Linked DNA regions of Lonchura striata. The protein of the gene in region 1 interacts with the protein of each later gene in a pairwise test. Links are inferred from orthologs where the notes say so. Each region holds a gene or a part of one and is shown on either strand. Other genes may lie near its edges.

The links.
Region 2: the proteins of APPL2 (region 1) and RAB5C interact in binary tests that used the Homo sapiens proteins (3 or more experiments, as listed by UniProt). The two-hybrid records come from large-scale screens. The link is inferred for Lonchura striata from reciprocal best matches to the Homo sapiens genes APPL2 and RAB5C.

What each region holds. Positions count from the first base shown.
Region 1 is NC_134607.1:20,387,423-20,402,933, forward strand, and holds the start of APPL2 (DCC-interacting protein 13-beta), read right to left. Parts: upstream 7,329-15,511; 5' UTR 7,205-7,328; coding exon 7,151-7,204; intron 2,606-7,150; coding exon 2,507-2,605; intron 1-2,506. UniProt on the Homo sapiens protein: Multifunctional adapter protein that binds to various membrane receptors, nuclear factors and signaling proteins to regulate many processes, such as cell proliferation, immune response, endosomal trafficking and cell metabolism.
Region 2 is NC_134627.1:6,404,338-6,419,637, forward strand, and holds the start of RAB5C (ras-related protein Rab-5C), read left to right. Parts: upstream 1-9,071; 5' UTR 9,072-9,162; intron 9,163-15,300. Other genes in the region: voltage-gated delayed rectifier potassium channel KCNH4, read left to right, coding at 1,039-1,272, 1,407-1,538, 1,681-1,823, 2,717-2,960, 3,171-3,328, 3,623-3,830, 3,955-4,149, 4,816-5,015 and 1 more; voltage-gated delayed rectifier potassium channel KCNH4-like, read left to right, coding at 6,386-6,406, 6,844-6,891, 6,968-7,440, 7,483-7,586, 7,675-7,751, 7,837-8,277. UniProt on the Homo sapiens protein: The small GTPases Rab are key regulators of intracellular membrane trafficking, from the formation of transport vesicles to their fusion with membranes.

The DNA.
Region 1 (15,511 bases):
TATGGGCAAGGTTTTCTTTTTCACACTCCTTTCAAGTGCACAGATCCAAGTGCTTAAAGCAGTTTGAGCTGTCACTTTACAAATTTAGTGTGGCTCTCCACACAGAGCAGTGTTTTGACACAGCTATAGACAGCTATATGCATTTATCCACACAGTTAATTAACAGCATGCAGTTGGTACTAATTGCTACTCCCCTGAGACTTTGCACTGAATCCCTTCAACTACTGTTATTCTACCACAAGCTACAGTGGTTTGAATTACATAAAAATCAGAGTTTTCATCACCAAACTTCTAGTAAGCTAGCCCAAAATAACCTTGAAAACATGGTTAAGACATCTGGGAAATGTCAAGTTCAGAAAAAACTATGGAAGAAAACAAAATTAACATTTTTTCAAACTACTGTGTATTGAGGGAGCATAAACCCTAAATTTTCAGTACTGGTACAGTACTGATCAATCAGAACTGGTTTATTATCAGTTTATCAGGATCAATTATCAGTACTGGTACAACCCACTGATGCTTTTTCTGACTGCCTTGACAGTGATCCCAGTCATTTTATGGCCATTGCTTTAAAGTAGGTCAGTAACTGTAATTCCTATCTTACAGACACAGAAATCAGAGCAGGAGATGACAATGACTTTATAAAGAGAAAATTTGACTTTGCAGAGACAAAACTTAAGTCAGGAAAATAAAAAGGCAAATTCAGAAAGTGGCTTCTCAATACTCTCAGCTTTTACAGGGTTGGTAACACCTCCTAATATGCTACTATTGAGGCCCAGATTACAGATCAACAAAAGTGCTTTTTCTCCCAAATTGAGATTAGGCAGCCAAGAAATATCACACACATTTTTCTTAACTGTCCATAACTAACTTTATGTTTAGTAGGCAATTCAGTATTACCCTTCTATTTCTACATCTCAAAACTACATCAAACTCGAAAGACCTATTTCAAAGAATATATCCAATATTCACAAGCAACTGCATATTTACATCAAACTAAAGCAGTGTGCAGGAAAGAAGTGGTGAAAAAGTGCTGGAAAAATGAAGTATACTGAGTAGTACTGCAAAATATTGATGGGTAAATGTACTGAGAAAATGAGAAGAAAAAGGAAATGTTATTGTGGTGAAACAGAAATGGAGAAGGCGAAAAACCAAGATGAAAAGGAAGAGGTAAAGAAAAGCAGAAAAAGCATTTTTTTCCTTGAATCACATAGAGCAACCACTTCCTAAAACGGGACAGCAGAAAGGGACGTGCAGTCCTCAAGCTGGACATCAGATTTCAGATTTCAATCTGATTTATCTCCTGATTCCCTTCTTCATCCATTTCAGTCCTACCAAGTCTTTGCTGTCAGATTCCTACCACACACTCTTTGTTACTCTCAAAGCACAGTGACTCTACCAAAATGCCAACCCCTGACTTTCAGCGCTGTTTTCATGTCACCTCTCGAGCCCTTGGCCATGCCCTGCATTATTTCCTATGTGCTGCAAGCCTCTGGCTGCTCTACATTTGCATGACTTCCAGGACATGAAGACTCTGAAGCTCTCTGGATCTTCCAGGTGGAGGCAGCCAGATCCTCAGCAAATGGTTCTTCCATCTCAAACTATCAGTCACCGAAAGAGCAATCCCAACAAATGGACATACACTTGCTTATAGCAAATCTTACAGCTGAGCTGACCTCTAATAAGTAGGATCACGCACTCTTCAGGGAAATTCAAAATACCCCTGAGTTCTTAATCTCTCTGTGTACTCTGATTTAGTGGTTTAAGAATAGAAAAGTTGTTTCTAGTGAACTCAGGAATTTAACCTACATAAGTACTTGCAAAACTTCCATGAGACACTGTGTAGGTCTTTAAAGACCCAGATATGGCATTTTGAAACACCTAATTTTATGCACATGGGAATCAGCTTCACTGAAAACCACTGAGATTTACGCTTTCCAAAGCACTGGATATAATTTATGTTACAGGTTTTACTTTCAAAGGGATTTAGTCATCTAGGTCATGTAAACACTCTAGAAAATGTTATTTTTTCTGCTCCAACTCTTTTTTTTCACATCTACTGTAGGCACTCGACTTTAGGATAACCCATGAACATCTATCTGCTCTGTAATCAATGGACATGGGCAGTTCCCTCCATGAGGTGAATCACAGCATCAAAGTTAGGTGCCCAAACTCAGTGTGCAGACCTAGGAATTGTATCTACATTTTGGCAAGGAATTTTGTCAAGGCTGGCCACCCAATGTATCACAAGGTAAGGACACAATACAGTTTTACTTTGGTTAATTATTTGGAGACAAAGTAAATAACTTTTTTTTTTTTTAATGAATACTACTTTTCTGAGCATCAAGGCAGGAAGAGGTTGAGCTATCAGATGAAAAACACCCACAACTCCTCTTAAACCACAGAAGGTACATATACTTAGCAACTCTACTGTAAATAACAGCATCACAATAGCAATTTATCTTCTACTCCACATTGAACAAAAGAAATACAAATGAAAAATTACCTGGGCACCATAGACTCGTTGCATTGCCTGAAGCAACTGGTTTGTGTATTCTGTAAGGGTTCCTGCATCTTCTTCAAAGACACTGAGCAAAGAACGAGTCTTTAACAAAAGAAAAAAAGCAAACAGTGCTTAGTTTTGAGTGGAAATCTTAAAAAGATTCAAAAAAGTAAAAAGTAAAAAAACAATCAGAAATAATATATCCTTGACTTGCACAATTCTGTTTATTCAGATTCTTTTATTATGGATAGGTAAACTGAGGCACAAGGAAGCAAACTATTAAAATGCTACAGCCACATCCCAACTCCCAGGCTCTTGCTCCTACTAACAGACAGTCCTTCCAACATAATTAGTAATGTAAAAAATCCTGAGTATCTTCCTGCTGACGACAGTAATTCAAACCATGTTAAGGACTGGGGGGTCAAACACCACTGCTTGCTCACTTTACTTCTCCAGTGTCAGACTGCACTGAAAGCACCCCTTTCCACTGAGATAATTTACACTCTGTTATTCACTCCCCACTGTCTTGAGCAACTCTTAAGGGGCCACAGCCAAAGCAAGCTGATGTCACTGGACCAAACAAGTGTTCATCTCCAAGAGGCACACAAGGATACGCCCACTCAGAGATACCCTGTACTTTCTTCACTCTGCTAACTCATCTTTGGCAGCAAGCAGGAAGGGGAAGGAAGAACTTGTGTTCTCTTAAAAGACACAAATTCCCTTGGTTTGTTCAGGTGGAACCATCAAGAATAAAGAATTATGTTGCTGACACAGTTCCCAAGATGGGAAAGAAAAGATATTTCAGAATAATGCTGGGCTCCAGAATTTGCTAGATCTTTACAATAATTAAAAAGGAAAGATTGTCCCATTAACAAACTCATGATCCATACTTAGCTTAGATAAATCCAATCTATTTGAGGCTATCTGGAAATGTCTCTCCATCTGTACAGCTAACGCATATGACATTAATGAGCTTCATCTGCTTACATGAGGGGCATACATAAACTCCAGTACTTTCACAGACATGTCAGTCCTGTAAAAGAGCAAGTCCTTTATTTTTAAGTCCCCCTCTTACAGGAATCTCTAATGTACCTGAAGTATCCAGGTTCAAATTTGAGAAATTTATTTTCAAAGGTTTAAGGTACTCCACTATTTTAACGGAAGGCACACGCATTTTCCAAGGCATTTTTTCTTCTCTGCAAAACTCTTTGCCCAGACTTTTTTTGTCCTGGAAAACTCAACACCAGCATCTTTCAATAATCCTAGACTATGATGAACTATCATTTCACCTCTGCTGAGAAGTATGCAAGCCAGAAACTAGTGCTGCTCAGTGGTTAAAATACATGACCTGGGAGTCAGTCTTTGGGTTCCCTTCAGAACCTTCCTCCTCTGAGTAGCTTTAAAAGCTCTCAACAGCTCACTTGGCTGATGTACTGAGCTGCTACAACACCTCCCACCTGGGAGATGCTGGCAGTTTGGGAAGCTAGTTTGAGATCCTAGCATTTAAAGGAATATGCATTACAAACTATTGCTTTCAAATAAAATGAGCATAAAAACCAGAGACTGGAGAGAAGTCCGAGTCAATGAAATTGATACCAGGAACCCAAATGTTTAAAGCACCTTTGTACAGAACTTCCCTGTAAGGACAGTGATTTTGAGAGTTTTCCACATTAACATATTATTTCAGTAACTGCAAACATATTGATTTTAAAAAATCTAGTTTCAAATGTTTTATCTTCAATGATGTAAAGTAAAATAATGTCAATAAACTATTTTGTATCTATACAGTACTCAACTTGTGTTACAATGGCACCTGTTTTGTGCTACAATGGCACATGAAAAGTACAGTGTACAAAAATGGTTAAAAAATAAATCTGGGGAAAGCAAAAACTATAAAACTTGACACAATGCTTATCAAGCCAAATGTCAAGCCAAAACTCAATGATTATAAAGAAATTGCCTAAATTGGGCTACAAATCACATAGTTCTGCCTGCTGGAAAAGGTTCCCAAATACAGGAATGTCAACTGCATTTATAAATTTTAGTGAATTTTTGCAGACTCAGATTTTTGGTTTGTCTAAATATGGTTTGAGGTAGAACAGCTCCAGAAACCAACTTCTGAAAGTCTTGGCCTCTGTTATTAGCACATTGTTCAAAAATAATAAAAACAATAAATTATTCAGACAGTTTGGAAGTTATTGTTGGAAACTTTTACATTTAAGAATATGAAATCACTGTAACAAAATACCAGCATATATGTATTTTCTTTGTTGCTGTTTTGACAAATTTTGGAATAGCAGTTAATTCTGTTGAAATAAACCAGTGATCCAAATATTAAGCTAACATTTAAGAGGCCCCATTATTCACAACATTATCTCAGCTTCTGAAAGGATAGGAAAAAATTTTCTAGTTTCATGTAAGTACTTCCCTTGATTTTAGCATGACTGCTGGCATAAATTTTTCTCTATTTTGTAGCTAAACACATCAAAATTAAGACACTTCTTATGGCCTCTTCAGCCAGTGTCTAGAGACAAATCAAGACAAAAGTACTGTACTGACGGGGAGAGATAAATGAAGTTCTAGAAACCTGATGAAGAAATAACTTTGGCCTAATTCTCCTCGGTCTTGCATGTAAATCACATACTTCCCACAGATTATAGAAAGTGAGGTTATATCCTCATTTCACCATCCCTTTGCACTCCTGAGACTGCACAGAGCAGGAGAGAATCAGGATCCTTCTTGCAGAAGTAACTGGTCCTATAAGATGCTATACTGCTTATTTCTGTGGAACAGAGACTAACTTTTTGCTTTGATTTTGTGAATCTAAAGCTCTCCCCAATGACAAAAGTAATAAAAATATAAAAGACTGAAAAACCCACTCCTGCTTCCTTGCATAAAAAGAGTATATTTTAGCAACACTGGGCCATTATAAAAATGAAACGTCACTCACTCTGAAAGCCATAGAACTTGAAGAAAAAGCAAAAAAATCAGGGTAAAACATCTTGCCAATACGCAGGTTTATGCATTGCCTGGTATTCTAGTGATGGCAAAGGAGACATTGACAGCCTTCATTTCAGGACACAGGTAAGATGATTACCTCCAAATTCAGTTCAGTGCATTGCTCAAATGCTTTCAGACGGTGTTACATTTTTAATCACTGAGGGAAGTGTTGACTGAAGAGGTAAATTAGCTCATTTCTCCTGCATGTAAATTTCTTCAGCTTTAGGACACAGTGGGTAGGTTAACAATAAAAATGTTACTAGCTAGCCATAATTAATCTGGTACATTCTGGTAAACTGTGGAACGCAGAAAAGCTCAGTCTGGTAAGGAACTCCGCAGGTCACCTAGTCCAACCCTCTGCTCCAAGCAGGGTTGACTTTGGTGTAACTTCACATTACTCAACACTTCTTCCAACACAGTGTTTAAAATTCCCAAGGATGATTACAAATACGCCACATCAAACAGATGATGGAAATCCTTCTTACTAGAATGGGATTTCATGAAATTACAAAAAACCAGGCTAAAATGAGGCAAGTAAGATCTTAAGACCCGAGGTTCATTAAGTCCTGACAGGTGCACTTCCAATCTTTCCTTCAAGACGTCTCATGACAGGCTCTGTAACACCTTGCAGCAATCTGCCCTACAGCTTACCTATTCATTCCTGCTCCTGATCCACCAGCAGACACGTTGGGATTACAACACAGGGTTACCTGGGAGCTGTACCCATACTGATCCGCCCTGCCCTCGTTTGCTTTTCCCCTGTTCACCAGCTACTTCTGTATCTCGCTCTGCACAACGCTTTGTTCCCAAGCGCACCTTCCGCATCCCTCAGTGGAATTTCCATTATTTCCCCTTCCTCTAACTTCTCTTTTCCACTCAGCCAGCCCCTGAACATATCAAGACACACGTTCTTCTCTGTGGGCCTCCCCCAGTGCCGGGTCCGCAGGGCAGCCGGGCACACGGCGGCTCCCGGCGGCGGGGCACGGGGCGCTGCGCCGGGGCCGAAGGAGGAGCATCCTCCCTGCACTCGGGAAGGGAAGGGCAGCCACCGCCTCTCCTCGTTCTCACAGCCCTTCAGAAGGTCATCTTCGGTGGGATCCGCCTCACCTATCCTCATGGGAGCTCCTACATGGGAACTGCGGCCCTTGAGGAGCAGGCACGCTGGCGGTGACACTCCTCCAGCCCATTTTGTCAGCGCGGCCAGGTGACTCACCGCGCACAGGTGTCCCTTTCCCTCCGGGGGAAGCCAGCGCACCGAGCCCTGCCCGCCTGTCCTTCCCCGACACCCTCAGCAGTTCAGGGCAAGCCTTACGGCCACCGAGCGCGCTCCCACACGGCACGGTGCGAGCGAACAGCCGCAGCAGTCTCCCTGCCCGCGCTGGGGGAGTCCCTCGCCCGGGGGACAAGAGGAGCAGACTGCCTGCTGTTCGCCACGAACACCAGACCTCCCCCGGCCGCACGGCCGCTCAGCGCATCCCCGCTGGCTCGGACAGCCCAGCCCGCCCCGAGCGCTGTCCCCCGCCCGCCCGGGCACCCCTCTCCCCGCTGCTCCCCGGCCCGGCCGGACCCGCGGGCTGCCCGCCGGCACCGAGCGCTCAGGTGCCTCACACCGACCGACGGACGGGCTGTCCCGGCAGCGGGCGCTACCTGCGGGCTGTCCTGCAGAGCCTCTTCCAGGAGGAGCTTGTCGACGGCGGGCATGTTGGTGCTGCGGCGCGGCGGAGCCCGGGCAGGAGCGGGGAGCGCGGCGCTGGCACGCCCCGGCGGCGGGGCTCGGCAGCGTCCCTCCCTCCGCCCGCCCGTCCGTCCGTCCGCCCGTCCGTCCCCGCGGGGGCGGCCGCGGCGCTCCGCAGGCACCGGGCACGGCGGGACGGCTCCGCTGGCGGGGCCGGGGCCGCTCACTCCGCCCAGTTCCCGTCCGGCGGAGGAAGCGAGTCACGGGAGGGCCGGGGGAAGGCTTCCTGCCGCCATTCGCTCGGCGGGGCGGAGGGCGGCCCGTGCCCGTCTCCCGTGCCCGCCTGCCCAGCCGCGCTCCCCCGGGGCAGGGTGGCGGGAGGAGGGATGCACAGCCGCCCTGGATGCCCCCTCAGCCGGGAGAGGCTGTGAGGGTGCGTGGGTGTGACGAGCACCGGGGGAAGATCAGCCCCTCCAGCCTGGCTCCTGGGGCTTGGGGACCTCCAGATGCAGGCGAGCCCTTTGCTGCGCTCTCCTCAGGTGCGCGGCGGGGACACTTCTGGCATCAGCACAGCCGCTTGCTTATCAATTCCCTCGTTTGTTCTTGTCCGTGGACAACTCTGCAAGTGAAACAGACCTTGTGCTCCAGACAGGCAAATCCCCGCACAGCCATGGCTCCTAACACCATAACCCCGTAACACTTGGGGGGTTAGAAGGGACGCATTTTGAGTTGTTAGTCACATGAAGATGTGCTGAGCTATGTTTTTATAAGTCTTGATGCTGTCTTAATTGTGTTGGATAACTCCAGCATTTGGACGTTAATTTGGATGCTTAGTTGAACAAAATTAATACTTGCAAAATAAGCACAGCTTGATCTGTATTTGATTATGTACATGCTTTTGAAGGGTGTCCATTGCTTTTAGATGCCTTAGCTTCTCCAAAAGTCCTTGGTTATAGATCTTGTAGGGAAGTTGCTCCATTCTTGTGAGCAGTAGCTTTTGTTGCTCCAGTGTGCCTTTAGATAAAATGGAGATACTCAAATCCAGAATCTCATTTAAGGAAAAAAAAAAAAAAACAAACAAAAAACACACACACACAAAAAAAAACAAACCACAAAAAAAACCCGCAAACAAAAAAACACACAATAAAAAACCCAGAAGAAACCAACAAAAAGACCCCCAAACAAATAACCCAAACAAAACAACAAACCCCAAAACCTACTTCTGAAGATTTTAGGAAGAATCCTGCCAATGAAACAGAATATGCAAACAACCATACTGGCTGTAAGATGCTACCATCTTTGAATATATGTCACAATTTTCAGATAACTCGTATTGCTGCCTTCTTTTAAAAGAAGAAAAATAATTCTAAAAAATGCAGCTCGTGTTGCAAGAGAGCTCCAAACATTAATATCAGCCAGCTTCTTGCATCTAAGTCCCAGTGGATTTTTCCACTTCTGGCATTCTTAAGTAATAGCAAACATTTCATATGACAAGGTGATTGCTAATAAAGATTGAGGGGTATTTTTTCTGATTAAAAGACTTTTTGCAGATTGGCTGGATGATTGTTTGCTTTAATTATGAATGAGAAAAACCACTGAACCCTGTAATTTTGGCTAAGGTATTTCTGTGTGTCTGACATTGATTGGTATTGCTTCTGAAGCTTGTGATGGGACCTTTAACCCAATGTGCCAAGCCATAACAGTGGGACTGCCCCACCAGTCCTGAAGCTGGACTCTCTGTTCCAGGCCTTTGAGTAAGAACAGAGGTCTCACATTCAGTTCCTTTTCCTGCCTGAAAGACACTGAACCATAATAAAGATCTCTAGCTAATACCAAAAATACCATGGATGACAGTATGTATTTACATAAGGAGAAAATAAAAATAGATACAGATTTATCATAATAATGTTTCCAAAGAATTTTAGAATGGTGAAAAGAGGTCAGAGATTTTTTTTTTCCTACGGAATATGAAATAGGGCACCAATTAGGCATTAGGCTTAAGAATCCATGATCACATCTGAGCCAATTTTGTCAGTCTGTATTAAGTCTTATTTTTCTTTCATCAGAGACTTTGAAAGCATTACTTGAAATTAATGTAGAACAAGAAAACCATGCTTCATCAGATTTTCTGTATCTGTTAAAGTAGCTTCAGGGCATTTTTTAGTATTTACCAAATACTTAGTTTTAGTGACAACTCTTGCCTTTCTTTCCCCCTCTTGTCTTGAAATAGTTCAGCAACAGCTCTTACCCATTAAGTTAAAGTATTTCCTTCACCAGGAAAGCATCAAGGTGGTTTGTTTGTGGTTTTATTTCATATCAGTGCAATAACCTGGAAGGTTTTGTCTTCTTCCTTTTGATGTCTTTGTTTAGTCTGAGGTTCAAGAGTGGAAGCCTGTTGTCATTATAAAGTTCAGGATAGTTATTTCCACAACAGGTTCTACTAGTTTTATTTAAATAAAACAAAAAGCACTTCATTAACTTACTGAAAGGTGATGCTTTTTACTAGTTGTCATTCTTTGTTGCATCATTTCCTACACAGCTATAAACTTGGCAGATTGCTTATTTATAGTGAACAAAATGTTTTTATTGAGCTTTACCAATTCAGTCCAGGTGGTTTTGAATTTGCCTATTAGTAATTGAAATTAATTTCCCAATCACTTGACTTTATTTGGTCTCAAGAATTATTCTTCAGTTTTGGTAACTCCAAATAATGTTTCTAAAACAATTAAAATAACCCACAGTAAAACTACCAAACATTTCAACAACAGATTTATACAACATTAGCAGTATTAGAAAAAGAAGTTAGATACCTTGTTCATGGCCAGTCCTTTGGGTAGAGTTGTCTCATTCTTTGCTCCAAGAAAACACAGTTTATGGGTTTTCTGAGTTTCCGTGTTCTATATCCAGGTACTGAATGCAATATACTCACCTACTACAAAGAGCCATGCTAATGGAAAGCACTCTTACAGCCATTCTAGGAGCACTGAACATCTGGGAAGAGAACAGGGAAACAGGAGATACAGTACTCACAATCCTGACTGCTCAAAAGACCTGCCACGGAAGTGTGAACTGAGCTGGAGATCACTTCCAGGGAGCAGCCCAATTCATTTGTATGTGTGTATTCCATAACCTACAGATGACTCGATTGTGTTAAGAAAAATAGCTCCTAGAATGTGAAAACTTTAGGGGAAAAAACTCAGAATGGCTACAATTATTCTGATCCATACTGCTTATAAAACTAGCAAGAGATCATAGTATCAAGTAAAATCAATAAATAATTCAGCATTGAGTATGAAGTAATTTATTATGTAAACTAATTGTCCTGCTTCTAAGAAAAGATGATACTTCCTTCCAGCAAAAGCCAAAAAAATCTCATAATTGGGAGAATAATCAATTTCAAAAGAAAGAAGAAAGTTTGAATTCAACTGGAATTTCAAGATTTGTCTTCTAAACAAATCTCTTGGCAAAATGACATAAAATCTTCCATTATTACTGTAGTTCCACAGAAACTGGTGCGTCTTCAAACCTGAAACTGGGGTTTTACACAGGACAGTCTTGTTCCTGTTTGAGGATGGCCAGGAACATCCCTTGGTAACCAGCCAGTCAGGTCTGGCCATGTGACAGGACAGGAAGGACCGTGGTGTGACTGGGACTGTGTGGTCTGCAGGACTGAAGGTGTCAGTGCCACGCTCCCAGCTCTGCCCAAGTGCTCTTCCCCTAACTGCCCAGCACCAGCTCAGGGCTGGAAGCAGAGTGACAAGCCTGGATGGTGCTGTGCCTCAGTTAAAAAGCCCTGCCAGCTTTAATTGGCCTGTTTGGAGACAAGGCAGCTGTTGTGCATCCTTAGCCTAATTTATTTCCAAATTTGATAATCCACTCAGTATAAATGGAGAGCTGACTGTAATTATTTTTTTCTGGTTAGACTAGTTAAAGAGTAAGTCATACTGCATTGTGCTCTCTTTCTTGTATGTTCCATTATAACTTTAAAGAACTTATTGCATTATGCTTCCTTTTTGGCTTCCTACCTTATACTTTACAAGAAATTTCTGAGCAGTGGTGTGTTAGTCACATGTTTGCTAAGTCAGCTGAGTATATTTAGACTTTTAACAAAATGTCTCATATTCTTTTTTGTGCTCAGTAACAAATCTTTGAGATACAGATGACTTTTAGACATGTAATAATTTACTGTAAGTTGTGCAACTTTTATATATATATATAAATATAGGGGGTATGTTATATGATAGTAGCAATAAATTGCTTCAGATGAATACAAGTGAAAGATGTGAAAAAGACTCTTAGTACTTTCACTACCAGAAGCATCCCAAAACATTTTTTTAAATAGTATCTGAATAAATTACTGGTTAAATTAATACTAGGGCGTCTGATGTACTGGACATGTCTTGGACACATAAGAAATGAGTATCATGTGATTTTGTGCATGACCCATAACATAATACTGGGCTGAAATAAAATTCCACTGAAATTATTAATTGCTATGTGACCAAGATGTCGTGTTCTTTGTTTTAACATAAAACACATGGCTTTGTTTATTTCCATTAAACACGTTAGTAATATGCCGAAATGGATATGCACAGATGGGCTGGCTGGTGGGATGGATCTAATTAAAACCTCATTGAAGGTGAAGAGTATAACTGCCATCTTTAATTTCATGTAATTTAAAGACAATTAAGTCCCCTCCTGTAAATAAGCACAGCAGCAACCTCCACCCAGATCCAGAATAAAAATATGGTTTCAGAGGCTGGAGTCACTGATGGAAGCACCAGCACTTCCTCCACGCCCGCCTCTGCCCTATGCTGTGTGGGCTCAGTGTTTAGTGTGGCCATGGCTTTTTGTTTTGGGGACTATGTGATGGAAGGCGCCTGATTTAACAGTTTGCATTTGCTTTGCAAGAAACAGAAACAATGAGAGAGTGGGTAGTTTGTTGGAGAATTAGTGGAATATTTTAAGCTAAAATTTTTATATTTTTGTGGTACAAACGTTAATACACAGGCTCTTTCCTCCTTCTAGCTGTGTTTTTTGTGATGTGTGTTGTTCCCTAACCTGCTCTAGGTGATGGTCCAATGGAATTCAGGGCTGTCTGAGGAATGGTGAAAAATCTTTGTATGAAATACAAGAAGCGACAGAAAGAATAATACAGGTACTTCATCAAAGAAATGCATATCTGGTATGATTCTGTACATTAATATGAGACCTCTAATGCCTGACATAGGATTATGAAGTGCCAATAAATAACCTGTTAGGCATAAAGGTTACCAAAAGTCAGAAAATCACATTCAAATGCAGGCTGGATCCACAGAAAAGACTGTCAATTTAGTATCAGAGGGAACCTGCTCTTTTAGTCTTTGCAACATCAATACAAATATTACAAGCAAATGCATTTAATGTCACTGTGTCTAAAGCCAACTCTTAGTCTAATTTCTTTATCATGAGATCACATGAACCAATCAGGCCCTGCACTTTTGTGTTTCTTTCTGAACAACACAACTGAGAAATTAGCGTGGTCTTAATTCTGATCACTCCCTTTGATTCACTTTTGTTCATCTTTCCACGGCTGGTTAGGCTAAAAAGCTGAATTATGATGTCTTAACATTTATATATAGCAGAACATACCTTAAGGCCTATTAGAAGTCCATGAAAGTTTGCCAGCATGATTATATCCTTTTTGGTCTTGCTGTTTTCAGTTTGGACTCTTTTTGTTCTCCATGCACAGCATAGCACAGAGGGGTCTGGGTACATAACTGAGGCTGCTGCAGACCACAGAAACCCCGAACAGCTCTGCTGCCAGCTTCCCCCTGAGCAGAGGCAGTGCTGCCCAGGGCAAAGGCAGAGCAGGATGTGGTGGTGCAATAGGATGTCATTTTGTATTTTTAGAGAAACGGCAAAAAACCCCAGAGGATGATACAGAAAGCATTAAGGAAACTCTAGGCAGCACCCAGATGGGCACAGATACCACAATCTGTTTGTTTCCTGCTGGGCAATGACTCCTCCCAGTAGGCTGCCTAGACAACATCAGGAGCACAAGTACACGAACAAGTGCAGTCATACAAGGAAAATGCAGTGCTGCATTGCTGCCCGGGCAGCAGGTCTGTGCACCCCCAGTCCAGCTCAGCAGGAACCCTCTCGCCCTGGAGCTCTGTGCTCCTCCACACCGCTCAGATGCTTCAGTGTCGCAAGATCAGATGTTTCCAATTTTTCTTCCTGCGGCGGCTGCTTAGAAGTTCTTCTGCTGTCTGGAGAAAGCCAAATACTGGGAACCCTTTCCTGTCATATGACTGGACCTTCTGCTGCAAATGAAGGGCTTGCCAGAAAGCTGGAATTCTGCAGCATGTGCACTGAGGCGTTCCCTCCAGCATTGCTGCTGGAGGCAGGGCTGTCGGTGTGGTGAGCTGGCGACTTGCTTTAGTAGGGGGCAGTGAGGAGTGTGAGGAAAGCAGAGTTGAATCATTATAGGAGAGATTGCAAGCCACATATTGCCTTTTGTAGCTTTGTAGCTCTTGGAGTGTCTTTTCAGAGGTGTGCTGCCCTTACAGCATGGGTGAGGGAGCACAGCCCCTAGGAGGCTGACAGCAGGGTCTGACTGCTGCTGTGAGCAAGATAATTCTTCCAGTTGGCAAAGCTCTCTCTGTATTTTCCTAGGATAAAGGTCACTTGAGCAAGGTACAAGCAAGGTGAACTATCTCACCAGGCTGTGGGTAGCTTTTGGGCTATAAACTGCCTGCCATATGTGACTGAACTTGTGCAGAATTTGCCTTGCAGCCAAGAATCTGCCCCACCCTTTTTCTTTCCATCATGTGATTTTCCATGCAGGCAGGTGGTTTGTACCCCTGCAGCAATGCCATATGTTACCTGTGCACTTGACAGCCCAGCTCTAGTCCTGCAAACGTAGAAACTTGTGTTTAGCCCGTCAGACTCCTGAAGATTAATCAGGCACATGAATGTTGGCTGGATAAGTAAATAGTTTCCCAGTTCTTTCAAATTCATTTATGGTAACACATTGCTTTTCCTTGTTTTTCTTTCACATTTTAAAACCAGAACATTTAGTTCAAGGGTCACATACAGTCATTATCTTTAAATACTCTGTAAACGTAAGTCCTGACAAGATCCTAGGTCAGCAAGCATCTCTCAGTTGAAGCATAAAGCACGCAGACAGCATGTACTGCTGTCAGAGTCAACAGCACCTAGTAATGTGCATATTTTTTTTCTTATAAGGGACCAATGGTTTCTAATTAGTTTTTTTTCACCCTCTCAAATCACACTTCTATGAAATAGCAAAAAGGAAAAAGCCCCCTCCCCCCCCCCCCCCCCCACAAAAAAGAGCAGTATCATATCTGTTACTGTGAGAACATAAATAATAATGCAATGGAAAATGTTCTCATCAGTGTTTAAACTAACTTAAAAGCTTTGAAAGAAATCTGTGACAGAAGAGAAGTTGCCAGAGTTTTTTGTCCCTCCCCTGAACAGAACAGCTTGTGCAGTATTTCAGAAGTTCTGTTAGATTTGATTTACATTGCGTTGTAGCATTGCCAAATGGAGCAATGTTCAGTACTTTGAAAACTAAATCAAAAAAGAGTGCTCTGGTCATTGTTAGGTTTGAGTCCAGATCTCTTCTTGTTTTTGCTGTTGCACATCTGGACTGGTGCTGCCAGCACCTCTGGTTTCACCATGTTTCAGCCTTCTAGGGCAGGTTTGCTGTGAGGGGCTACCAGGCTGTCAGCTCCCCATCAGACCTTCCCCAAGTGACATGTGCTTCTTATTATGAAATGGGAGGGATTTGGGATTGCATGGAAAATGACTGGCCCCTCTCATTCTGGAGGAAAGAGAAAAGCAAGTCCTTGACTCCTCAATGCTCACTGTTGGAAATCAAAGGCTTAAATCTCCACAGCAATCATTTTAAGCTATGTTCATTATTTTCACACAACTCTGTGCATTTTAGGGGCCCCAAGTCATGAATTTCGAAATGCAACGCAAATACTAATAAACAAAATACCAGTGTTTTGGTAGCAATTCCAGGTACATATTAAGGAACAGATAGTTTGGGTGTGTTGCATCCATTTTGCTGTTAAACCTGGAAGAAATGAAACTAGATAAAGTATTTAATGCAGAAATTCCCAAACTGTCCATTTCTGTGTCTGTCTCTACCATTTGCCTCTACTCATGGATCCAAAAGCTGATTCTGTGTTTAACAAGGGTGAATTGCTTAATTTTTATTAATATAAATGAGAGGCATTTGTCACCTTTATGTAAGTGCTGAAAGGATATCTCCTATGAGAATATCTGAGGACATCACATAACTGCTATTGATTGCTTACAGT
Region 2 (15,300 bases), on another chromosome or scaffold:
GCTTCAGGCTATTTTTGCTTCTCCGAGCTAATCCCGGGCTGAGCTGAGCTGTGGTGGCCCCACGGCACCTCCATCAGCCAGGGCTGCCTGTGGTTGCCTCCCTTCCCTCCTGCAGCCTCTTGCTGCTTTTGCCTTGCCCTGGCACCGCTCTGCCTGTGGTGTGCGGGTGCTGGCATCACCCTGGGCTCCTTTCTTTTGTGAGAGGGGGCAGAGCACATCCACCTGATCCTGGCTGTGTGGTGCAAGGCTCCTGCACTGGGCACCCGCCACCACAGACCGTTTTGGGGCTGGGAATATCCTGGTGTGCCCACGCTGGGTTCCACCACAGTCCATGCCAGCTGCACACCCACTTCCTTGGCACCCTGCTAGCATGAGCCCCTCTGTCCCACTGGCACCGTGGGGCAGGGCTGGGGGGCAGAACGGCTGTTCTGTGGTCGGGCAGGGCTCGGGGCTGGCGAGGACTTTCCTGTGGCTGGTGCCACCTCCCGCTGCCAGGGCTGGGTGATGCTGGGGAGGCTCTGTGCTGCTGAGAGGCCGAGGATGCTGCAGCTCATCCCTGGCTCGTGGCACCTGGGCGTTGGCCCTTGACTTCCTGTGGGCTCATGGTTTTTCCTCCCTCCCTCTCAGCTGGTGTCCCAGCACCCCACACCTCTGGGGATCGCAGCACCACAGCTGGGCACCTCTGGGCTGGATATGCCCAGCTGGGAGCTGCTGCTCCCACTAAGCTCCCTGAGCCCCGGCGGAGCGGGAGTGGCAGATGGTGAGGGGGAGGCGTGAGCTGCCTCGCGTGGGTGATGGGGGCTGGAGATGGATCCGGCCTCCTTCCCCTTCCTGGGGCTGGGGTCCTGCCTGGGCTGGGGCAGTAGAGCAGGACAGGGGATGAGCAAGCTCTAGGAGCAGCTCGGGGCTGCCAGCAGCCACGTGGAGATCTGGCTTCACTTCTCAGAGGGACACATGGAGGGCTGGGAAGGCTGGGCTGCTGTTTGTGCCCCTTGAGCTGGTCCCAAGGCCTGGAGGGCAGCTGTGTTCTCCTTTCAGACAGCAACTTCATCCTGGCAAACGCACAGGGTCGCTGTGGCTTCCCCATCGTCTACTGCTCTGATGGCTTCTGCGACCTCACGGGCTTTGCCCGCACCGAGGTCATGCAGAAGAACTGCAGCTGCCGCTTCCTCTGCGGGGCCGAGACCAGCGAGCCCATCCTGCAGAGCATCGAGAAGGCGCTGGACAGCAGGCAGGAGTACCAGGCTGAGGTCTGCTTCTACAAGAAGGGCGGTGAGTGCCACATGGGGCTGGGTCCCTGGCCACAGCTCCAGCTGGGATTTGGCCCCGTCACGGTCTCAATGGCCTGGGGGAAGCTGCTGAGCAGTCAGGGAGCTGCCCTGCCTTCACCAACTCTCTCCACCCAGGAGCTGCCTTCTGGTGCCTGCTGGACATCATGCCCATCAAAAATGAAAAGGGGGAGGTGGTGCTCTTCCTCTTCTCCTTCAAGGACATCACAGAGAGCCGAGGCAGGAGCTGCCCTGGTGACAAGAAGGAGGGTGAGCTCTAGAATGGGGATGGGATTCGGGGAGCAGTGTGTGCAGTGGGCACGTGGCAAAGGGGCTCCCTGTTCCCTGGCGGGGAACATGAACACCCGTGGCACGGCACTCTCACTAACTCAGCGTGCCTTGTCCACTGCAGAAAAGCAGAGGAATGAGAAGCAGAGGAGCAAGAAGCCTGGGAACTCCCACCTGAGGGCTGCACGGAGGCAGGGCCGGACCATGCTGCACCAGCTCAGCAGCCAGTTTGTCCGGAGGGACCGTGGCGAGATGAAAATCAACCGTGTAAGGAGCTGGGGGACCCTCAGTTTTGCCCAGTGCCTCCCGTGCTGGGGCTGTGGTGAACTGGCAGTGCAGCAGCTCTCCTGAGAGCAGCCCCCAGCAGAGCCCAGCCTCACTGGGATGCTGTTCCCATGCACGTCTCTCCCCTGCCAAGTACTGAAATGCCCCCCAGCTCTGGCAGCCACGCTGTAGCCAGGCTGCACTTGTGTTGGGTTGGCAGCAGGAGAACCCAGTGTGTGCCCAGAGCTTGTTGTTGAGACAGCAGCTCTGGCAGAGCTGTGCCTCTCCTCATACATTCACTGTCAGGAAACCCCAGTGCTGGCTCTGAGCACAGCCACACTGGCTCTGGGGAGTGCTGTTACCAGGGTGCCAGAGCTGTGGAGCTGCCAGATGGGGCAGGAACCAGAGTCAGTCCTGTGCCAGCCCCTTTGCATGGCTGCTGTGCCCAGTACAGGGCACCACCTGCAGCTGTGGGGCCAGAGAGAGGGTCTGAGAGCTGCTGGGTCCCAAAGCTCATAAGCAGGTAAAAGATATCAGTGCACCAGTCTTAAATTTTGGGAATCTGGGGGTGATGGCCTTGGCTCTGCCCTCACCTCTCCCCTCCTCTGCCCTAGCATGTGAATTGGTACCTGAGATGGTTCCAGGCAGCAGTTGGCATTGCCAGGGGATTACGGTTAATAGCAATGACATTGCACTAATTGATGTGCTGTAATCAGGAGTTCTGTGCCCATCTCTGAGGGTGACCGCGGTGCAGGAAAAGGGTGCCATCACCCTGGCATCGGGGGATGCCAGCTGGTTGGCAGGACTCAGGAGAAGGGGTGGCTGTGGTGGCCTTCACCCCTCGTGTGGGATGGCCCCTGCACCGCCCCCGTCCCAGCGCACGTTTGCTCCTGCAGAACGTGTTTGAGAACAAGCCGTCCATCCCCGAGTACAAGGTGGCCTCGGTGCAGAAGTCCCGCTTCATCCTGCTCCACTACAGCATCTTCAAGGCACTCTGGGACTGGCTGATCCTGCTGGCCACCTTCTACGTGGCTATCACCGTGCCCTACAACGTCTGCTTCACAGGCACAGAGGACAGTCTCTCAGCTGCCCGCAGCACCATTGTCAGCGACATCGCCGTGGAGATGCTCTTCATCCTGGGTAGGTTTGTGTGCGGGGCTGGACACTGATCCGGGGTACAGGACACGGTGGGCAGTGATCAGGGGTGATGGAGAGGGGGGTTGGGATTGCTGTGCCCCTGCTGTTGGTCCTGAGCACACCAGAAGTGAGACCAGTGTTGGCTGTGGATGCTGGCTCAGCTCTGCCAGCACAGAAGGGGTGGTGAGGGCTGGTCCTGCTCTCCTGGGGTAGATATCATCCTGAACTTCCGGACAACATACGTGAGCCAGTCGGGCCAGGTTGTGTACGACCCTCGCTCCATCTGCATCCATTACGTGGCCACCTGGTTCTTTGTGGATCTGATCGCTGCTCTGCCCTTTGATCTGCTCTACATCTTCAACGTGACCGTGGTGAGTGCTGCCAGCACAAACCAAGCCCTCAACAGCAAAGCCTGCCCCTCTCCAACACCCACATCTCCTGGGGATACTTGGTGCCCTGACAAGCCACAGCCCTGGCTGCCTGCCGGGTGTTGGGCACAGGGGTGCAAGGCTGATTGGGGATAAGCTGCCTCGGGTTTGCCCTGTGACCTGTGACCCTCCTGGCAGCTTTGGGGGTGACAAAAGGCTCCTGCACCAGAGGTGGCGTTGGGGTCCCTTCTTATCCCTGCCTGCAGCTACACCAGGTTCCTTTTCCCCTGCCCCCAGACCTCGCTGGTTCACCTGCTGAAGACGGTGCGGCTGCTGCGGCTGCTGCGGCTGCTGCAGAAGCTGGACCGGTACTCTCAGTACAGCGCCATGGTGCTGACGCTGCTCATGTCCATGTTTGCCCTGCTGGCTCACTGGATGGCCTGCATCTGGTACGTCATCGGCCGCAAGGAGCTGGAGAGCAACGACCCCCGCACCTGGGACATCGGTGAGCACGGGGCAGCGGCGTGCTCAGAGCACCGGCATCCCCCCGGGCTGCGGGGCAGCCGTGCCAGGGGTGCAGCCCTCACAGCTGCCTCCTGCCAGTGCTAACCCCGGGCTGTGCTTGGCAGGCTGGCTGCACGAGCTGGGCAAGAGGCTGGAGGCTCCCTACATCAACAATTCAGTGGGGGGCCCCTCCATCCGCAGCGCCTACATCGCCTCCCTCTACTTCACCCTCAGCAGCCTGACCAGCGTGGGCTTTGGCAACGTCTGCGCCAACACCGACACTGAGAAGATCTTCTCCATCTGCACCATGCTCATCGGGGGTGAGGCGAGCAGTGGGGCTGGGCAGGGAGCGCACTGGGGCTGGCAGAGCGTTGTGTCCCTGGCAGGGCGCCGGGGAGGCGATGGGCATGTGGGACAGCCCTGGGGCTGGGTTTGGGGAGCGGCCCCAGGGCTGGGTTTGGGGACAACCCCGGGTCTGGGTTTGGGGAGCGGCCCCGGGACTGGGTTTGGGGAGCGGCCCCAGGGCTGGGTTTGGGGAGCGGCCCCAGGGCTGGGTTTGGGGAGCGGCCCCAGGGCTGGGTTTGGGGATCAGCCCCGGGGCTGGGTTTGGGGACAGCCCCGGGGCTGGGTTTGGGGAGCAGCGCCAGGGCTGGGTTTGGGGAGCGGCCCCGGGACTGGGTTTGGGGAGCGGCCCCAGGGCTGGGTTTGGGGAGCGGCCCCAGGGCTGGGTTTGGGGATCAGCCCCGGGGCTGGGTTTGGGGAGCGGTCCCAGGGCTGGGTTTGGGGACAGCCCCGGGGCTGGGTTTGGGGAGCGGTCCCAGGGCTGGGTTTGGGGAGCAGCGCCGGGGCTGGGTTTGGGGAGCGGCCCCAGGGCTGGGTTTGGGGAGCGGCCCCAGGGCTGGGTTTGGGGACAGCCCCGGGTCTGGGTTTGGGGAGCGGCCCTGGGCTGTGCCCCGGCTGTGCCCTGACGCTGCCCCCTGCCCCAGCGCTGATGCACGCCGTTGTCTTCGGCAACGTCACGGCCATCATCCAGCGCATGTACTCCCGCCGCTCGCTCTACCACACCCGCATGAAGGACCTCAAGGACTTCATCCGCGTCCATCACCTGCCCCAGCAGCTCAAGCAGAGGATGCTGGAGTACTTCCAGACCACCTGGTCGGTCAACAACGGCATTGATGCTAATGAGGTAGGAGGTGTTGGTGGGGCTCGGCCAGCCCCCTCCAGCCCCGACTGGCACCTATGGGGGAGCAATGGGGCTGGCAGGGCCAGCTCGGAGTGGTGCTGGAGGGAGCCGGTGTGGGGTAAATTCCTGCGGGACATATGGAGCAGAGGAGCTGATTACCACAGGGCCCGCCCCTGCCAGTCGGGACTGCTGAGCGCTGCTGAGACACCAGGGCAGCTCAGCAGATTCCCCATTCCAGAGGGGGACCTGTCCCCCGGGGCTGCTGGGATGCTGCTCCCTGCTCCTTGCCCCTCGTGCCCAGAGCCCCGGCTCCTCTGTCCCCAGCTGCTTCACGACTTCCCCGACGAGCTGCGTGCGGACGTGGCCATGCACCTCAACAAGGACATCCTGCAGCTGCCCATCTTTGAGACGGCCAGCCGGGGCTGCCTCCGCTCCCTCTCGCTCCACATCAAGACCTCGTTCTGTGCCCCGGGGGAGTATCTGCTGCGCCAGGGCGACGCTCTACAGGCCAACTACTTCGTCTGCTCCGGCTCCCTCGAGGTGCTGAAGGACAACGTGGTCCTGGCCATCCTGGGTGAGGGCAGGTGGCGTGGGCTCTGCCCCAGCCCTTCCTGCTGCCTGGCAGAGTGAGGGGCTCAGGGCTCGTGTCACTAGCCCAGCCCCGGTGCCCTCCTGCAGGCAAAGGGGATTTGATTGGAGCCGACCTGTGCAGAACGGACCAGGTGATCAAAACCAACGCGGACGTGAAGGCCCTGACCTACTGCGACCTCCAGCACATCGGGCTGCGGGGGCTCTGTGAGGTGCTGCAGCTCTACCCTGAGTACGCCAGCAAGTTCACAGCTGACATCCACCAGGACCTGACCTTCAACTTGCGGGAGGGCAGCGAGATGGAGGTGGGTGCGTGTCCTCCTGCTCAGGCCCCTTCCTGTCCTCACGGCCCTGGGGCTGGGGCTGTGCACGGCCATGGAGGGGGAGTCTGTGCACCCCCTGCTCGCAGTCCCCAGGCTCCAAGGCTGGGAAAGGGGCTGCAGCTCTGCCACCCTGGCACACAGGTATGTCCTGTCCTGGCTCTGTGCAGCCCAGGGAATTGGCAGAGAGAACCTTTGCAATGCAGGAGGCTGAGGTAGATGGAAGCCTGGAAATGGGATTGGAGAGAACTGGGGGGGGGTACTGCAGGACAGACAGCCAGGGCAAAGCCCCCTGGAGTGCAGCACACAGCTGTGGGCTGTGGGTTTAATCATGCTGATGGCTCCAGCATCCGGGGGTATGTTCCGCTGCAGAAATGGCTCTGCTGCACTTTTCCTCCCCTGGGTCTGCTGAGAGGCTCGGATTTCCTCTGGACCATCTCCCTTGTACCCATTTTCCCCCTGAGCATGATGGAGGTGGTGTGGGAGGTCGGTCTCTAGGTCCCAAGCAGCCCTACCAAGACCCACCATGTCCATAACACAGGAGGGGTGTAAACAAACCAAGAGAGGAGAATGCCAGGAGTGTGCACAAGGTTCTGCACCTGCGTCACCCTCCCGTGCTGGCTGCATGCTCCACACAGAGCTGGTGCTCTGATGGCTGAGCCGTGGCTGGGATTTGGGGTGCAGCCTCGGCTCTGCCTCAGGGCACTCAGGCAGCTCACCACTGACATGGCAGCAGCAGAGGGAGGAGAGTGAGTGAGGGGTTGTGGATGCTGGTGCTGAGGCTGATGCGTGGGGCTGGGGAAAGCTTGGTTGCCCGGGGGGCACTGAGAGGCTGGGGGGCTGCGGGCCGGTGACTGGTCCCCGTGGAGCTGTGCAGGGGCTCCCTCCTGCTGCTGAGCCGGCACCGTCTGCTCTCCCCGCAGGGGCTCTGCCGCTACTCCCGGTCCCCGAGGCTGCCGCAGGCGCCACAGGTTCGTCCCTTGCCGAGGCGATGGGGGTGGACGGGGCTGTGGCTGGGACCAGCCCTGACCTCCCGCCCGCCTGCAGCCTCGTCCGGAGAGCGGTGCTGCCCCGGAGAAACCCCTTCCCTCCATTGTGGAGGATGAGGAGGAGCCCGACGAGGTTTTCCAGCAGTCCCCCGCCAGCACCTCCCGCCGCAAGCCGCTGCTGCCCGCGCTGAGCTCCTCGGTGCGCCGCGGCTCCCTGAGCAGCCTCCTGGGCGATGAGCTGCGCCAGGGCTCAGCCCTGCGCCACGGCTGCCCCTCCCCGGCCCGCGGCGGCCGCAGCCCCGCTCCGCAGTGCCCGAGGGACGGCCGGCTCCCGGAGCGGGATGGAGGCGCGGGCGGGAGGCCGCCCAAGCTCCTCATCCCCTCCCTGCTCTCGTCCGGCCCGCCCGACCTCAGCCCCAGGTACGCCGGGATGTGCGGGCGGCTCATCCCGCTGCCGCGGGTTTGTGCCACCAGGCTGTGCCCTGGGTGTCCCACGGACATCCTGGGGGATGCTGAGATGGTGGCACGGAGGTGAGGGGTGACGCGGGCTAACCCTGACCCCGTCCCGCTTAGAGTCGTGGATGGGATTGAAGACAACGGAGGGGCTTCAGAGCCACAAACCTTCTGCTTCAGCACGGAGCCGCCGCAGAGCGCGCCGAGGGACTCCCCCAGCTCAGGTACCGCCAGCAGATGCCGGGCAAGGTCCCAGCGCCGGCCCCGGGGCTCGGCGGGACATCCCAGCGCTGTCCGTGTCCTCCCCAGCAGGGACTGACGCCGGCGGCCCAGCCCTGCTGATGGAGGCGGAGCGGATAAAGCAGAACATCAGCAGGCTCAACCAGGAGGTGCGCTGGGGACCAGAGGTGGGTGTATGTCCCCGCAAAGCCCGGCGACATCGGCCGGTGCTCACTGCTGCCTGTCCTTTTCCAGATCAGCCACCTCAACCGGGAGGTTTCTCACCTCAGCCGGGAGCTGCAGAACATGATGGAGCTGCTCAGGGGCCACCTGGGCGCCCCGCAGCCCCCGGCCTGTCCCTGCCGTCTGCCCGCCACCGTCTCGCCGCCATCCGCTGCCCCGGTGCCCCCCTCGCCCCCGGTGCCCCCCAGCTCGCTCAGCTCCCCCACCGGCAGCCCCCGGGCCAAACGCTGCCCGGTCCGCAGCCGCTCTGCCCACGCCGCCGCCCTGCACCCCTGGCTGGGCGCCGAGGGGCCGCGCCCGCCGCGGGGGGACACCCCCGACCCCCGCCGGGGCTCGGACTCGGAGCCGCCGCCGCTGCCGCCCCGCTCCGCCCGTTCCTTCCCCGGCTGCTCGGCCGGGGCCGGGGGTCGCGCCCGCCCGCAGCCGCGGTCCGGCTCCACCAGCTCCCGCTGACCCCGCGGGCACCGGGGGCGCCTCCCCGGGGCTCTCCGCTCCCGGTCACCCCGCCCGGGGCTCCCCGCTCCGGGTGACCCCGCCCGGGGCTCCGGGCTCCCGGTGACCCCGCTCGGGGCTCCCCGTTCCGGGTGACCCTCCCCGGGGCTCCGGGCTCCCGGTGACCCCGCTCGGGGCTCCCCGCTCCGGGTGATCCCGCCCGGGGCTCCCCGCTCCCGGTGACCCCGCCCGGGGGGGCCGTGCCCCCGGGGCTCCCGGGACGCCGCACCGGGAACACGCGCAGGGATTTTGATACGGTTTTATACTCGTCGCCCACGGCGCCTTTTCTATAGCCCGGCCGGGCTCGGCAGCCCCGCCTGTGCCCAGGGCCGTGGGGCGTGGCGGGGCAGCGCAGCCCCGGGGGACCCGCGGGGGTCTGGCGGGGGAGGATCCGTAGAGCTCTCCGGTGGGGGCTCCGGCTTGCCCGGGGGTCGCGGCCGCTGCCGCCCCTCCGCGGCTGTAGTTCGTGTCGTTCCGCCCCGCCTCTCCCACGCTCCCCGCAACACCGAGAAATAAAGGCTCTATTTTTGCAGCCCCGGCTCCGCTGAGTCTCCGTCCGCCGCCGCCCCGCCCTGTCCGGGCCCCGCCCCGGCTCCCCCATGGGCCCGGTGGCACCGGGACGCATCTGAACTACAACTCCCAGCAGTCCCCGCGGGAGCGCATGACATCACGCACGGCTCAAGGGGCGGGGTGGAGGCGGGGCGGAGCAGGTGATTGGCAGCTGTGACAGCCTATGGCCGGCGGGCGCGGGGCGGAAGGGGTGGTCGGGGCCGGAAGCGGAACGGGTAAAGACGGAAGTGAGGCCCGGGGCCTGCAGACGCACCGGCGGGAGCGGCGCTACGGGCGGTGAGTGCGGCCGCGGCCGCTCCTTGCGCCCCGAATGGCCGAGCCCGCCGGGAGGGTGCGGACCCGTTCCCTCGGCTCTCGCCCGGCCGAGGGCGGCAGCCGGGCCCCGCCGTTTGGGCGGCCCCGTGGCGGGATGCGGCCGGGGCTCGGTGGCGCCGCTGTGCCGGGCGGGGCGATGCCGGGGCTGCACCGCACGGGTGGGGCGGGGGCTTTGGGCGGCCGGGTGCCGTCGCCTCTCGCCGTGCGCCGGCCTAGCGGGGCGCTGCGTGTGGTGCGAGGCGGGGCGGCGGCTGCTCCGGCCTGGCGGCACCGGTGTGTGCCGGGCGGTAACGGGAGCGGAGCCGCGCCGGGCGGGGGCGGCCGCACGGCCCAGGGGACGGTGCCTGGCTCGGGGCAGGCGTCCCGGCGGCGCTGTGGGTGCTCGGGTCAGGCTCCTCCCGGGAGCGGCTCCCGGGACAGCGGAACGAACGCCTGCGGCCGGTACCGCGGGATTGTGCGGCGGCTGTGCCCAGCTCCCGTCTCGCAGCCGCGGCTGACTGCGAGCTGAGTGGCACTGGGGGAGGTGTGGCGCCAGGACTGAAAGGGATTTCACGGTGGGATCGGATTTTGTGCTTGGGCTGCCTCTGAGGTGGGAGTGGAAGCTCCAGGGGTTCCCGGGAGGTGACTGAGACTGGCCGGGGTCGCTGCCGGTGCCAAGCACAGCCCTTGGGAAGGGAAACCCGTGGTGCTGTAGGGCCCTGAGCAAGGCCCACGGGCTGCAGGGACATTCTGTGACTTGTCTGTAAGGGAATCTCGAGCAAGGCCACCCTTGGATCTCTGGCACAGCAGGACAGACCCTGCAGTGTGAGCTGGGGGTGACATCCTGGTGGGATTGCACCAGGAGTGCAGGTGTGAGCGTGAGCAACAGGTTTGCCCTGCTAAATCCTGGGGAGAACTGCTGGCACCTTATTCCTGGTGATGCTCCTGGGGCTGGGCAGGAGCTGGGGGTGCTGCTGGGACCTGCAGGGAGCCCAGCCCAGCTGCCCTGCAGTTGCTGCCCTGGGATGTGGCTGCTGCAGCTCTGACCTTGGCTGTTCCCAGTCCTGTAGGGAAGCTGGAAAGGAGAATATGTCGAGGGACTATTTTAAGTCTGCTGTGGAACAACTTGCATCTGCTATTCTTAGCTTTTTGTGTGGAGGGTCAGCACACTTGAGCTGCCCTGTTTACAGCCTGATGTTGGGCCTGTGCTCTGCTGGGCCTCCCGAGCCACCTCTGAGCCTTGGATGGGGCCAAAAAATCCAGCTCAGTCTGTTGTCTTGACATGCCATGCAGTCTGAGGGAACTTCCTGGAAATACCCACTGCTGCCTTGACTCTGAAAGTCTTTTACGTTTCTTTTCAGCTCACCTGGATAATAAGGTGCAAGATCTATATGTGAAAAGAGTTAAGAATTCTGGATAGTACCTGTAGGCAGCTACAGGACAATGTTGAGGCATTCTTGGGGTGAGGCAAGCAGAGCCTGGCTGGATTTGGGAGGTCAAGGACAGGAATGTTTGGGGTCATACCTGGGTCTCAGTGTTGAAATCACCTCAGACCCCTCATAAGTTACAACAGTTTGCTGGAACAGTCAATACCTTGAGACCAAAAATCTGCTTCTGGGGTGGCCTTTTCTCCCAAGATGCTCTGGCTGATTTAGCTGACATTTGACTGCAGGTTGTGCAGGCAGCACTTAAGTGGGTGCTGATGCCTCTTGAGGTGATGGATCAACCCAGGCAAAGTGAGATGGACTCCTGGAGAGGGTTGAGTTTCTGGAGAGTAGGAGGGAAAGGCTGGCTTGGCATGTGGATATGACTAGAGCAAGCTCAAACACTTACCTGCTTTTGCATTGGTAGAGTACACTTTGCTTTCCTGTGAAACCAGGGATGTGTTGGTGTGGTTTTGGTTTGCCAGTTTGAGATGGCACCAATTTTTACATTTCCCAGCCAACTGGACAGTGTGTAAAGGAGCTGTCTGGTGATGTGTGTGTGCTTGGCCAAACATAATTGTTGTGCTGAGAGGTGGGATTATCTCCACCATAGCCAAGCTCTTCTGCGTCTCAACAGGGATCAGCTCGAGGGGTGCTCTAGGCCTTGCCACTCATCAGCTCTGTCCAAACTTCTTCAGCTGCTGCACAGTTTCGGATGGTGGTCATGGCATCTCCCTGAAGAGGGAGGGGGAAGGAATGCCAAGGGCTTTCAGACACAGGAAATAAAATGGGAACGCTTCTAATGAAGTGGGTGTAGCCCAGAGTATTCCTGTCAGCAGACTTAAAAGAGGATAGAATGTAGAAATGTTGGAGTCAGCTGTTTTCTTCCCTTGGGGTATGAAGTTTGCAGCCTCTTATGCAAGTCCCGAGAAGTTGTCAGAATAGCATTGAAAACGCTTAGACACTGGCCAGAAACAGGAAACCTTCCTGGATGTGACAGTATTGGGGAGGAATAAAATTCATCTGAGGTCTGGGGGAAATGCTGTCCTCCCCTGGAGCACAGGAATGAGCTGCTGGAGCAGCTCTGCATAAACAGATAAGAAAACACTGTTTTTCATGTTTGCTTTGGTTTGGTAGCACTCCAAATAAGGAGCTGCTCGAGGCAGGAGATCTTTGTGCAGTCTGGGAAAGATATTCTGAAGGTCACAGATTCTTTGCAGTGCAGGTGGCAGTTTCCTGCTTTGCATTGCTGATGTTGCCTTCTTGCTGACTGAACAGTGGGTGCTCTCCAAGGCATGTGTTGAGTGTCTGGTCAAGGGAAGCTGTGTCTGTTGAGGGCATCTGAACAGGAGTTAAACAACCTTTGCTGAAGAATTAAAACCTTGATGCTTTTGTTCCATTTGAGGCAGTCCAGGCTGCATCTGTGAGTTGATCCTCCAGCCTTGCTGTGCCAAGGATAACTGAAAGTAGGTGAAGGCTCCAAGAGGGAGCCACTGTGGGACTGGGAGCTAGTGGGCAGCTAATGGGAGATGAAGGTGATGTAAAACTCTTCCACAGAAGTCTGTGCTGTTGTCACAGCAGGATGGTGGCCTTGAAGTCTCTGGGGATAGAGTTGTTTTGGAAAAGCTGCTTTGGAAAACAGCTGGCTGCTGGGGCTGCTCCAGAGGCCATGGATGTGCAAATGTCAGGAAACAGATGTGAGTATCAACAGCATGAGAAGCAGATGGTACTAGTTCAGGTCTGCAGCTGAATGAGTAGATCAATTTTGGAATGGAAATCCTATTTACCTCTAAATTAAGGTGAGCATGTCAAAGTCTTTGTGAGTCTTGGGTAAGGGACTGCACAGAGAAGTTGTTACACTATGATAAGTTAGTCACAGCCAGAGGAGTGCTGCTGAAACTGCTGTGTGAGCTGATTTGGGTCTGTGAATCTGCACTTTAGGGCTGTAGTGCAGCTCCTGCCAGCTGAAGTGGAGAGTGGCCCAGTTCAGAGCAGTCCCTGAACTCCAGACTGTCCTTTGTGACCAGGACACCGAGGGCTCATTCTCTGGGGAGGGACAAGGTAGGAAGGTGGAGTATTGAAACTCGTGAGACTTGGTGGGACTGAGGTCTGTAGGTTGGGTGTTTCCTGGTTCTTCTCCTCTGTAATAGTTGGGTCTGTTCCTCCTTTCTCTGCAGCCTGGGCCCTCCTGCAGGCAGGCTCAGGAAGTTCGTTCTGATTAATCATATTGATGAGTTGGAATATCAGGTTGACATTCCACGCTGTGCTAGCCTGGGCTAGTGTGGTCTGCATGTGGCTCTGGTGGGACCTGCACTTTCTGCTGGTCCTGCTTGTGGAAGTCAGGAAGTTGCTCCTGACTCCATGTCCTGAAGCTGACTCTTCCCCCTTGGGCCAGCTGCCCATGCAGTGTGAGGTGAAGCAAAACCACTGGGTAACTTCAAGGCTTCCTCTGCCAAGGAATTCATGTAACACTGTCAGCTATTTAACGAGATAAATGCTTCACTGGGGCTTTTGTCTTGAGTATTTTGGTTCTAAGCCAACAAATCCCCAGTGAAGCAACTCCTTGCATAGCTAAGAGCAGCAGCAGTCGTTTGGGTAACCAGAGTCTTCAGGATTAGGTTTCTGAATATCCTCAGCTTTCAGAGTAGTTTTTGCTGCTAGCTGAACACAGGGCAAAAATATCAGATTCTCTAACTTCTGACACCTTAAATGAGCAGCTTCCCTGTGGTGGGGTGTCCTGCAGAGGTTAACATGGGGATCTGACAGTACTTTCCATGTGATGGTTTGTGTTCTTGTCCTGGGTAGGTTTGTTTGAAATGGGCTCTGGTGCTCTTCCCCAGCATCCTGAGGGTTATGGAGAATGGTCTTGCACTTGGGCAGGCAGTGCAGCAGCCATGGCATGTGCTTTCTCATTTAGAGCACTCAGATTCTTGAATTTAATATTCCTGGCTGTGTACAGCCTCCTCCAGCAAACCCTGACAGGCAGGGGAGGGGTTGGAGGAGCAGAAGTGATAGACCTGGAGCTCTCACCTGTGGAACAGCATCAGGAGTTGGTACTTGACTTTGATCTCAATGCAAACAAGAAACTATCTTAAGAGTTCACAATAAAGAAATCGGTGCTTTTGCTGTGGGATGCAGAGCTCCTGTGTGTGCTTCAGTGAGCAGGAGGTGGGTAGGGCAGGTAAACAAACCAGCACGAGCCTTTTCATGGGTCTTGTGATCTTCCAGCTGCTGGGTTCCACTAGTTAAAAGAAACTAGTAGGAAAATTAATGCCTGTTAATCTCGATTACATGAGTACCCCACCGTGTCCTTCTTTTTTATGGCCTTGACAAGTTGAATTAGCATGGCAGGCTGGGACTTCAGCTGCTTTCCCTCGTCTGTGTGGTACTGCTGTGGTTATTTTGGTCTGCCTGACCTGTGGCTCGAGTGTCAGTGCTGGGATTCTCGTGGGGAGCAGGGAGGAGCCCAATCCTCTGCTGGAAGAGGTGGGAGGATGAAGAGCTCCCCAAGCACCAGAAATGGCTTCATACAGCAGGAAGCAGTCCCTGTTTCTCAAGTCCACTGGTGGGTGTAGGCTGATCTAGCACAGGTTCAGGCTGTGTAGTTCAGCTGCCTCTGCAGAGCTGAGTTCTGTCTGACTGGAATCCTCAAACATCTTGGCGTTGGCAGAAGGTTACTGTCCTGCCATGGAGTGTGCTTGCTGTCTGCAGCACTGGTGAGCACTTCCTTTGGTTATTTGCTTCCTCCTGTGACCATCAGCTGGTCAGGAGGAAGGACTTTGGCCAAGTCTTCAGCCCAAGGCCATCAGTGACTAGTTAGAGTCTCGAAATTCCACTCAAACACTTGAAACATATGGCAACTTCTCATGTGAACATGAAGCCATATCATCTTGTATCCAAGCATCAGAGCACCCTGAGATGATGATCTAGCTCTCCACAACTGGAGCAGTCAAGGCTCTTGCTGCTGCTCTGCCTGCACTGACCAGTGGCTGTCCACGGTGAGCTCAACATCGATGTGCTCACCTAATTCTGGTGGAGTTCATGGAGCACAACCAGATGGCAAAATGCATCAAGATCTGTGAAATATAGGTCAGGCTAAGACTTGAGGATGTCAACAAGCTCATTTCCTTGTTTTGCTCTGGGAATGACCTCTATCAGATTTCGGGAGGCTGTAACTCAGCCACACTGATTCGCACAGTGTTTGTGCACAGTGTTGGTCTGGAGCAGCAGTGCAGCTGATAGACTGCCAGGGAGTTATAAATACAAGGTTAAATCAAAGCTGTTCCTTTGCAAGCTCTGTTTAGAGGGGAAACTCTAAAAGGTGGAAGCCCTTTCAGGCTGGTAGAGATGCAGAGCTGCTGCTGAGCCTCTGGAACCTGGTATCACCAGGCTGCTCCCTCACTGTCCAGCAAAGCCAGTTGTTGATCTTTTCATATCAAGCTTTCTCATCCTGTCAAACAGTGTTTGTCCTTCCTCAGTAGAGGGAGGGGAGTCCTGACTGTGCTACTTGCAAGGCCCCAGCTCTGGATTGCAGTATCTTCAGTACTTAACCCAAAACTGGGACTCAGAGCAATGACCTCAGAGCTCTGGCTCCTGAAACATCCCGCAGCACTCAGAAGTTTTACTCGTTGATTTCTGTCCTACCTGCCAGCTCTGGTGACTGGTGCCATCTTAACAGCTGGCATCTGACTGCCTC